Danio rerio: one gene and its partner. Each later gene encodes a partner of the first gene's protein in a complex. Links are inferred from orthologs where the notes say so. Each region holds a gene or a part of one and is shown in the gene's direction. Other genes may lie near its edges.

Region 1 (3,827 bases):
AGCCCATCCATCTTCATCTGCAGCATCACCCACTAAGGCACCTGCAACAGACTTCACCAGTCCTGCAGACAGTGAAGCATACTGCAGTGTTGGAAGGGGTGGCCAGCTTTCCGTCACAAAAAATAAGGAAGCGTAGTAGGAAAAAGGGCTCCTCTACCACAATGGCTCCAGCCCCAGAGCGCCCGCCAATGTCTGCTCCAGCCCCAGAGCACCTGCCAGTGTCGGCTCCAGCCCCAGAGCACCTGCCAGTGTCTGCACCAGCCCCAAAGAGGCTATCTTTATGAATTCCCTCATTGGCTGCATGTTCTAGTCTCATTTTATGTGAGCACATGGCTTGTGTTGTCTCTTTGTGTCAGGTGCTCTCCCGTCTATTGTCTAGTCCCACCCTCCTCGTTAACCCATTATTAGTTTATTAGATTCAACTGTTTAACACCTGTTTGTTCACCTGTGTTAATTTACTTCTGCTTATATTCTCCTCATGTCTGCTGTTCTGTGCCAGTTCTTTCTTGCATGTTGCCTTGTTCCAGTATTGAGTGTTCCAGTTCTGATACCTGCCAGCCTTTCCATCCTAGTTTTTTTTTTTTATTGGTTATTAGTTTTATTAATGTTTCCCCTTCTGGGTTGTTATTTTGCTGTCATGTTTTATTTTAAAATAAATAATTTCGTCTGCAATTGGGTCCTCACTCCCTCATCCTTCCCAAACCATGACAATAGGTGCTTTGCATGACAAAAAAGGACACCGCATTCCAGAAGAAGAACTTGCTCCCTACTGTAAAATATGGTGGAGGGTCCATAATAGTCTGTGGATGTGTGGCAAGCACAGGTACTGGAAACTTTGTCAAAGTTAAAGGTTGCATGGATTCCACCCAGTATCAGCCGATTCTGGATGTTCAAGAATCAGTCAAAAGTTACAACAGGGTTGGATGTTTCAGCAGGAAAATGACCCAAAGCACAGTTCCAGATCTACCAAGGACTTCATGCTCAGACACAATATACTGTTCTAGAATGGCAATCCCAGTTTCCAGATTTAAGCGTAATCGGAAATCTATAGATTGATTTGAAAAGGGCCGTTCATGCTCGGCACCCATCAAACCTGGTTGAACTGAAGTTATTTTTGCAAGAAAGAATGGTCCAAGATACCTTCAGCAAGAATTCAGGGACGTATCCTTGACTATAAGAAACATCTACAGGCTGTTATTTCTGCAAAAGGTGGCTGTTCAAAAGATTGATGTCATTATTTTGTTGGGGTGCGAAATTTTTTTGCACCTGTCTGTCTTTGTTAATAGTTAAATTGCATTGCATCTGTTGATTGAATTAATGTTATGTCAGAACTGAAATGCTGCTTTTTTTTCTAGGATATAAATATATCCAAATGAAACTGCTGATTTGAAAGGCCAGCAGACTATAGCTTGCAATTATGAAAATTATCAGGGGTGGCCAAAATTTTGCATAATACTGTATACCCTATTTTACATCTAGGGAGGAAGAAGGTCGTCGCCAGATTAAAAAACTGCAAAAGCAGTTACTTGACATTCGCAAAGAAAAAACAGAGGAGTGTGAGGTAATCTAATGGACTTGAACACATATATGCTTTTAAAAATGAAAATAATGTGACAATAAGACATTATAATTGACCTAACGACAAACTAGCTAACTTTTTTGTTTGCTTTTTTGTTTGTTAGCTCTAAATTTTTTGCATATTTCTTAAAGAAAATACTACTTTCTTCCCAGAGGCTTGAGGAAGAGGTGGCCATCCTAAAAGACCAGGTACAGGACATGAGGGTGAGGACAAACCAACAAGGGAAATTTGTGAAGAGCTGTGCTGAACAGCTGGTCTACCAGGAATCAAAGCACAACAGTTACAAAGAGAATGAACTAGAAGATGAAGTTAAGGTATGTGATTCGCTTGTTCTGCCTTGCTTCATAATTTTGTGTCCCACAAACCACCCAGTGCTCTGCAGTACCTCATTGTCAGTGCCCTAGAGACCACCCAAAATATTTAGCAACCACTGAAACACAAAGGAACTTTGGGCAAAGTCTTCACACTATCGACATGTCAAATTGTGTGTCAGAGCAGATAAAACTTACAAGGCTTTTTACTAGGCTATGCATCAAGACATTTTGAAAAATAAAGTATATTTGCATCGTTGAAACACAAAAACAGATACAGCTTTATTACTCACCCTCATTTCATGTCAACTCCCTAAGATTTTCAATCATCTTTGAAATACAAATTAAGTTATTCTAGATTAAGGGTGCTTCCACACCTGTGGATCGATCCTTTTGTTCCGAAACCGGGATTAAAATTGTTACAATGTTGCACTTTGTTCTTGATGTGATTCATTTTCACATGGTAAAGTTTCTAAACGGACCAAAATAGTTTAAACAAGTCATGTGCAATTAAACTCTCCTCACATTGGTCAGAGTTTCATGGTTTATTTTGAAGAGTCTCGCTCAGCTGTCATGCGTCCTTATTTTAATTTATGGCAATGAGCAAAAAGACATTTTAAGCAAAAAGCTGCACATTAATTTTTAATTTAGACACCTACAGACATTGTCACCAGATATAAAACAGATGTAAGACTGTCCCATACATACCAGTGGGCTTATACATTATATGCTTTACATTATAGAGAGAAATAACAGATGACAGATTTTTCATAACGGATAAACAGCTCACCCTAATTGCTAGTTAACATGCTTTCACTTTCAAATTTTATATGAAACCGGTAGGAATGATATCCCGTCCTACTCATAATTCTCTCTTCATATAGCTAAATATGGCTATTACACAACCATAATACACTGTGATATAGCCTGGTTTAGATCTAATTGATTTCTTACTACAATCAATTTGCTCCAGAGTTCGTTTCAATCGAGCCGAGACCACCTCATTCAGGCGATCGATGTGTGATAGCTGGATTCACATACTGTATGATAAATGAACCACATTAACTGGGAAAATGCACCAGGATCTGAAACAAAAATCTAGGTGTGGAAGCATACTAAATCTTAATGGTACCAAAACATTCTTTAAACAGTCGATGTATCTTTAATTGTATAATGAGAATATTTCCAGATAAACAAATAATAACTTAATTCAAAAGATTATTTTCTTCAGTGTCAGTATAGGGCTCACTGTTATATATCTTGCTTCTCTGACATATTACCTTGCCTGTGTTTTTTGTTAGAGGAGATTACATTAGTACACAGTGCTCATAAAAATGTGCTCAATATACTGACAATCTGGAGAAGAAACTGTTGAATTAGAATATTATGTGCGCTCAAATGTATTCCTGTAGCTTGATAATGTTCCGATTGTACCTCTGATGGCATATATCTTGTGTTTGATGTAGTTTGGTTATTTTCTAGACTTTGAATAAGCCTATTTTGCTGTCAATATAGAATGAGATGTCGGAGGGAGGTATCTGGGGTTTGCAATGACATGAGTGTGAGTAATTAAGATCATAATGTTAATGTTTGGGAGAACTAACACTTTTTAAACTATGGAATTTTGAGTAGATATCGCTATATACAGTATTTTTGTTTTTGATACAGTTTATCAAGTTTCATGAATTCAGAATTTGCCTATGCAGTATTACCAGTAATCCCGGCATGCACACATATTGTAAAATGCACATATACCATAACATTGTAATTTATTAATTCCACTTTTGGTTGTGCACTCAGATGCTTCAAGAGAAAATTGAGGAGGAAAAGAATGTCCACTTTGAAACAGAGGCCTTCCTAAAACAACAACATGCAGTGAGTTAAGTATAGCTTTTATTCTTATTTATTCATCCGTTCATTTTCTTTTCGGCTTAGTT
Region 2 (4,618 bases), on another chromosome or scaffold:
CGGTCTTCTCGTGCACTCCCTGGGGCGAGGCGGCCTTTGAGCCCTAGGCAGGGAGCAAACAACCACCGAGGACCCTCAGGGAAACACGGGGGGCCGGTAGTGGGACCTCGCTGCGAGGGTTATGGTGGGTGGGAGTAGCGAGGCCCACTCATCTTCTATTTTAAACCATAGTTTCAAACTTTAGTTTACTATATAGTTTGAAATAGAAACCATGGTAACTGTTATGATTTAACTTTATGCAAAGAGCTTACAATGACCAAGAGCAACAGACCCGGATTCCGCCATTTTGAAGTGATAGCGATCGCTCGTCATTGCTGTCGCGATGGAAAGCAGCTGCTTTGTTTTTATTTAATTTATTCAAAAAGCGCGTTATTGTTTCCCAAATTGTAGATTGTCGCCTCATGGTAATTCTATGCTCTTCTGTGTCTGACTGTTGTGATGTTTTGCTTTGTTTTTCAGCTGAGATTTTGAGCAAAGAAGGACTATTGAAGACAACAGTTGAAGACAACCGCGGGTTATAATCACGAGCGCGCGCATTATAATGTTTTCGGGCTGTTTTCTGAAAGTGTGTCTTTGTTTAGATAAGTTTGCATGTCAAACTAAATAAACTATACTCTTTCTAAACACCTGTCTCGTTTTATTTGTCCTCTACAGCAATGCACTGTCATATAGGTCTGTTGAATGCATTTGTATGCAACATGGTTTGACAATACAGTAGTCTAACAAATAAATAGTTGTTATAAATGTACCTTCATTAGTCAACATTTGATGTTATGTTATGATTGTTATACTATATTTATTATTATTAATATGCTGTATGTTTAAAACCAGCAAATTATACTATATATTTAACATGTCATAAACTTACTGTTATTTTAACATTTGCCAAATAAAATGTCCTAAGACAAGAATGGGTGTTGTTTTGGTTTTGTGTCAACCTACTGTAGGTTTTAGGTTGACTACAGCAAGGCTACATACATCATAGGGAGTTTTTTTATAACGGAATAAATATTTCACGGAGATGATTTTACTGCGTGAGAAAACTGATGTGTGGCGTGAGAGCGTGAGAATACGGTCAATTGCGTGACTTTCACGCATTTTGGCAACTCTGAAATATTAGTGTTTGGACTATGTGATTATTTATTACTATAGCAGGTACTATTTAGCCTATATATTCTCCTGGATTGTATAAGTGCTTCTGATTTTTATTTAACACTGACATATTTATACACATAGGTAATTTAGACATGTACTCTTTATTGGTGCTTTCAAACGAATAATCGCGTTCATGCTTGTACAAAGGATGTATAAAAATGTTCCTTACATTCTTCCTTTTCTTCTGTTTTTTTAGTCAGTACTGAACTTTCCCCTTTTGTGAGCAAAAACTTTTGCTAGTCTATAAAAGATGTTCGGCATTTCTTATTTTGGTCGATTTAAACAATCATAAACAGCATAAACAGAAACATTTTTTTAAACTTCTGAAAGCGGTTCCTACGTAGAAGAACCACTTCCTGCCCTCCGTCTGAATGGCGAGTGTGTTCAGGTTACCTAGCAACCAGGGTTTTAGACATGGCGGACAAGTATAATGCAGGTAAAGATGCTACACGTAAAATGCTACGCTTTTTTTACGTTTGTGGGCTTACTGTATGCTTATTAATGGTGTTTGTATTCTCAGCATGACGTGTTTTTAAATACAGTTGCCATTACTACGACTGTTACCAGATCAATGATGTTTGAAAAGTTTTCAGTAACGTTGTTTGTTAACGTCGAGTAGTTAAAGTAACAGTAAAAGACCACACAGACAGCGAACATCTACAGCTGAATTGCTTTGTAAACACACACACACAAAATAAAATAAAAATGCGGAAAAACACAACGTTAATTAATGTATTTTTTATCAGAAAATATTATAATAGAAACTCAAAAGAGGATTGGGAATGCCTTTGATGTATTTGACCATGAATCCAACAAGACTGTTGATGTCAGGTAACGTTTCACTACGCTGTTTTTCAAAATATATTAGACCATTTGTTGATGTCTGTTAGCTTTGTTCTGCACATGTTCTACAAACAAGGAAGACTTCTTTAATGTTATCTGTCATTTTTCACCGTAAAAGGGAAATAGGCACCATCATTCGTTCACTTGGCTGTTTTCCTTCAGAAGCTGAATTGCATGATATCATCTCTGAGGTCAGTGGTTTTGTTTTGCCGGGTCATAAAATGCATCGCTCTTGTAAGTTGAGTAGATCAATAGTTATGAAGTGTCATTTCATTCACAGCTAGAAGAAGAAGAACCCACTGGATTTGTGCGCTATGAGAAGTTTCTTCCAACTATGACTAAGATCCTGCTGGAGCGCAAGTAAGACTGTAATGAAATAAAACAGTATGAAACCCAGATTATTCTTAATGTTTTTAAAAGGTCACAGACTGATAAATCACACAAATGCATCTATATATTTATATACAGTCTAACTCAAAATTATTAGCTGTCCTGTAAATAATTTTTTCTTACTCAGTTATTTTTAAATTGATATTCAACAGAGCAAGGATTTTTTTTTTCTTCTAGCAAAAGTCTTATTTGTTTTATTTTGGCTAAAATAATGGTCTTTAATAAAAAAAAAACATTTTAAGGTCAATATTATTAGCCCCCTTTAGCAATATTTATTTTCGATTATCTAGAAAACAAACCATTATTATACAATGACTTGCCTAAATACCCTAACCTGCCTAATTACCTTAATTAATGTAGTTAAGCCTTTAAATGTCACGTTAAGTTGAATACTAGTATGTTGAAAATCATCATCATGGCAAAGATAAAATAAATCAGTTTGATGTGTCAAATGAGTTATTATAACTATTATGTTTAGAAATGTGTTGAAAAAATTCTTTTCGTTACAGAAATTGGGGAAAACATTTACAACGGGGCTAATAGTTCAGGAGGGCTAATTATTCTGATTTCAACTGTACATGGATATATAGTGCTAGAAGATGAAGCCAAAATGTCCAAGGTATCAACTTGCACGGATCGTATAATTCCCACAGTTCCTACACACCCAATTGCAAGCACATAATGGCATGCATCCAAATAAAAGCAAACTTATTAAAAAATGTTCCGTATATACATCAACAATTGATGTAACGAGAAAACAAGGCGACACAGTGGCGCAGTGGGTAGCACTGTCAGCAAGAAGGTCATTGTTTAAAGCTCTGGCTGGGTCAGTTGGCATTTTTGTGTGGAGTTTGCATGTTTTCCCTGTATTGGCGTGGGTTTCCTCCTAGTGCTCCGGTTTCCCGCACAGTCCGAAGACATGTGGTATAGGTGAATTGAATGAACTAAATTGGCCGTAGTGTATGTGTGTGAATGAGTGTGTGTGGATGTTTCTCAGCACTGGGTTGCAGCTGGAAGGGCATCCGCTGCATTAAACACATCCTGGATAAGTTGGCGGTTCATTCTGCTGTGGCGATAAAAAATAAAGGGACTTAGCCGAAAAGAATGAATAAATAAGAAAACATTAATTAAACGCTTACCTTCTCTTCGATAACATTGAGGGAGCAGGGCTTTTTAAAATGTTCTGCAATCAATGACCAGAGAGCAATGGAAATATTTGGATTTCCCTTTTTCTATATTTGGCCTGTGTGAGCCAAAATCTCACTAATAAAATGTGTTGTCGTGTCTAAAGCAGACAAATGTTTTGCCTCTACATGTAGATGTGCTGGGGGTGGATTTAAACAATATGCAAGTTAATCGGCCGCTCAGGGCCCCAGTTAATCTGAGGGCTCCCAAATAAATACCTAGAATTATAAATTATACATATAAATATTATATATAACATTGCTTTCTATCATATTTTCCCCTACCTTCAATCATGGACCAGTTCAGCTGTCAAATCAGTAAAGATTTAGTTTTAAAAAACGAAATTGTTTATTTATAGTGAATTTATCTTAAGAAAACAAATGATTTAAAAAGTTTTATAAGGTGCTTTACATGTTATTATTATTTTGCATTAAGATAAAATGTAGAAAAGGAGATTGATTGATATAAGAAATAACAGCAAAATAATAATAAAAAAATTAAAGTACAAAAGGTGCCTTTTAGAACTTTTGGGTCTAATGGCTGGAACAGCTTAGGGCCCCAAAATCACTAAATCCATCCCTGAGACGTACAGTATATGACTATAAGTGTTTTAACATAATTTGCAGTACCTGTAAAAACTTAAAACTAAAATAAAATAAACATTTGATTAAATAAATATTTACTTTGCTAAAGTTTTTCCCACAATAAAATTTAATACAAAGCCTAGTATTAGTGATAATTGTAGCTCTGCTTCTTTCTTTTTTCTTGCAGGTTTCGTCCTATTACAGAAGACCTGCTCATACAGGCTTTTGAGGTGAGGCTGTTTTGTTTTTTAATTTTTAATGTGTGAATTTACCTTGTTAACATGTGAAACTTTTAGCAGTGTCAAAGACACTATGCAAGACACCTAAGACCAGTGCATTGATTTAATGGACTGTACTTTAATCTAATCTTAAAGGTTTTAGATCAACAGAAAAAAGGACACCTGGAACCAGCAGAACTGGCCAAATACTTAACACAAGAAGGTGAGACTATAACAAAGTGT

The links.
Region 2: drc9 (region 1) and drc8 share a complex: the UniProt entries of both Homo sapiens proteins name them as parts of the nexin-dynein regulatory complex. The link is inferred for Danio rerio from reciprocal best matches to the Homo sapiens genes DRC9 and DRC8.

The regions. Positions count from the first base shown.
Region 1 is NC_133193.1:29,295,546-29,299,372, reverse strand, and holds part of drc9 (dynein regulatory complex protein 9), read left to right. Parts: intron 1-1,479; coding exon 1,480-1,561; intron 1,562-1,731; coding exon 1,732-1,893; intron 1,894-3,690; coding exon 3,691-3,765; intron 3,766-3,827. UniProt on the Homo sapiens protein: Component of the nexin-dynein regulatory complex (N-DRC), a key regulator of ciliary/flagellar motility which maintains the alignment and integrity of the distal axoneme and regulates microtubule sliding in motile axonemes.
Region 2 is NC_133192.1:12,696,590-12,701,207, forward strand, and holds the start of drc8 (dynein regulatory complex protein 8), read left to right. Parts: upstream 1-1,553; 5' UTR 1,554-1,569; coding exon 1,570-1,591; intron 1,592-1,901; coding exon 1,902-1,986; intron 1,987-2,116; coding exon 2,117-2,189; intron 2,190-2,278; coding exon 2,279-2,358; intron 2,359-4,344; coding exon 4,345-4,387; intron 4,388-4,531; coding exon 4,532-4,598; intron 4,599-4,618. UniProt on the Homo sapiens protein: Component of the nexin-dynein regulatory complex (N-DRC), a key regulator of ciliary/flagellar motility which maintains the alignment and integrity of the distal axoneme and regulates microtubule sliding in motile axonemes.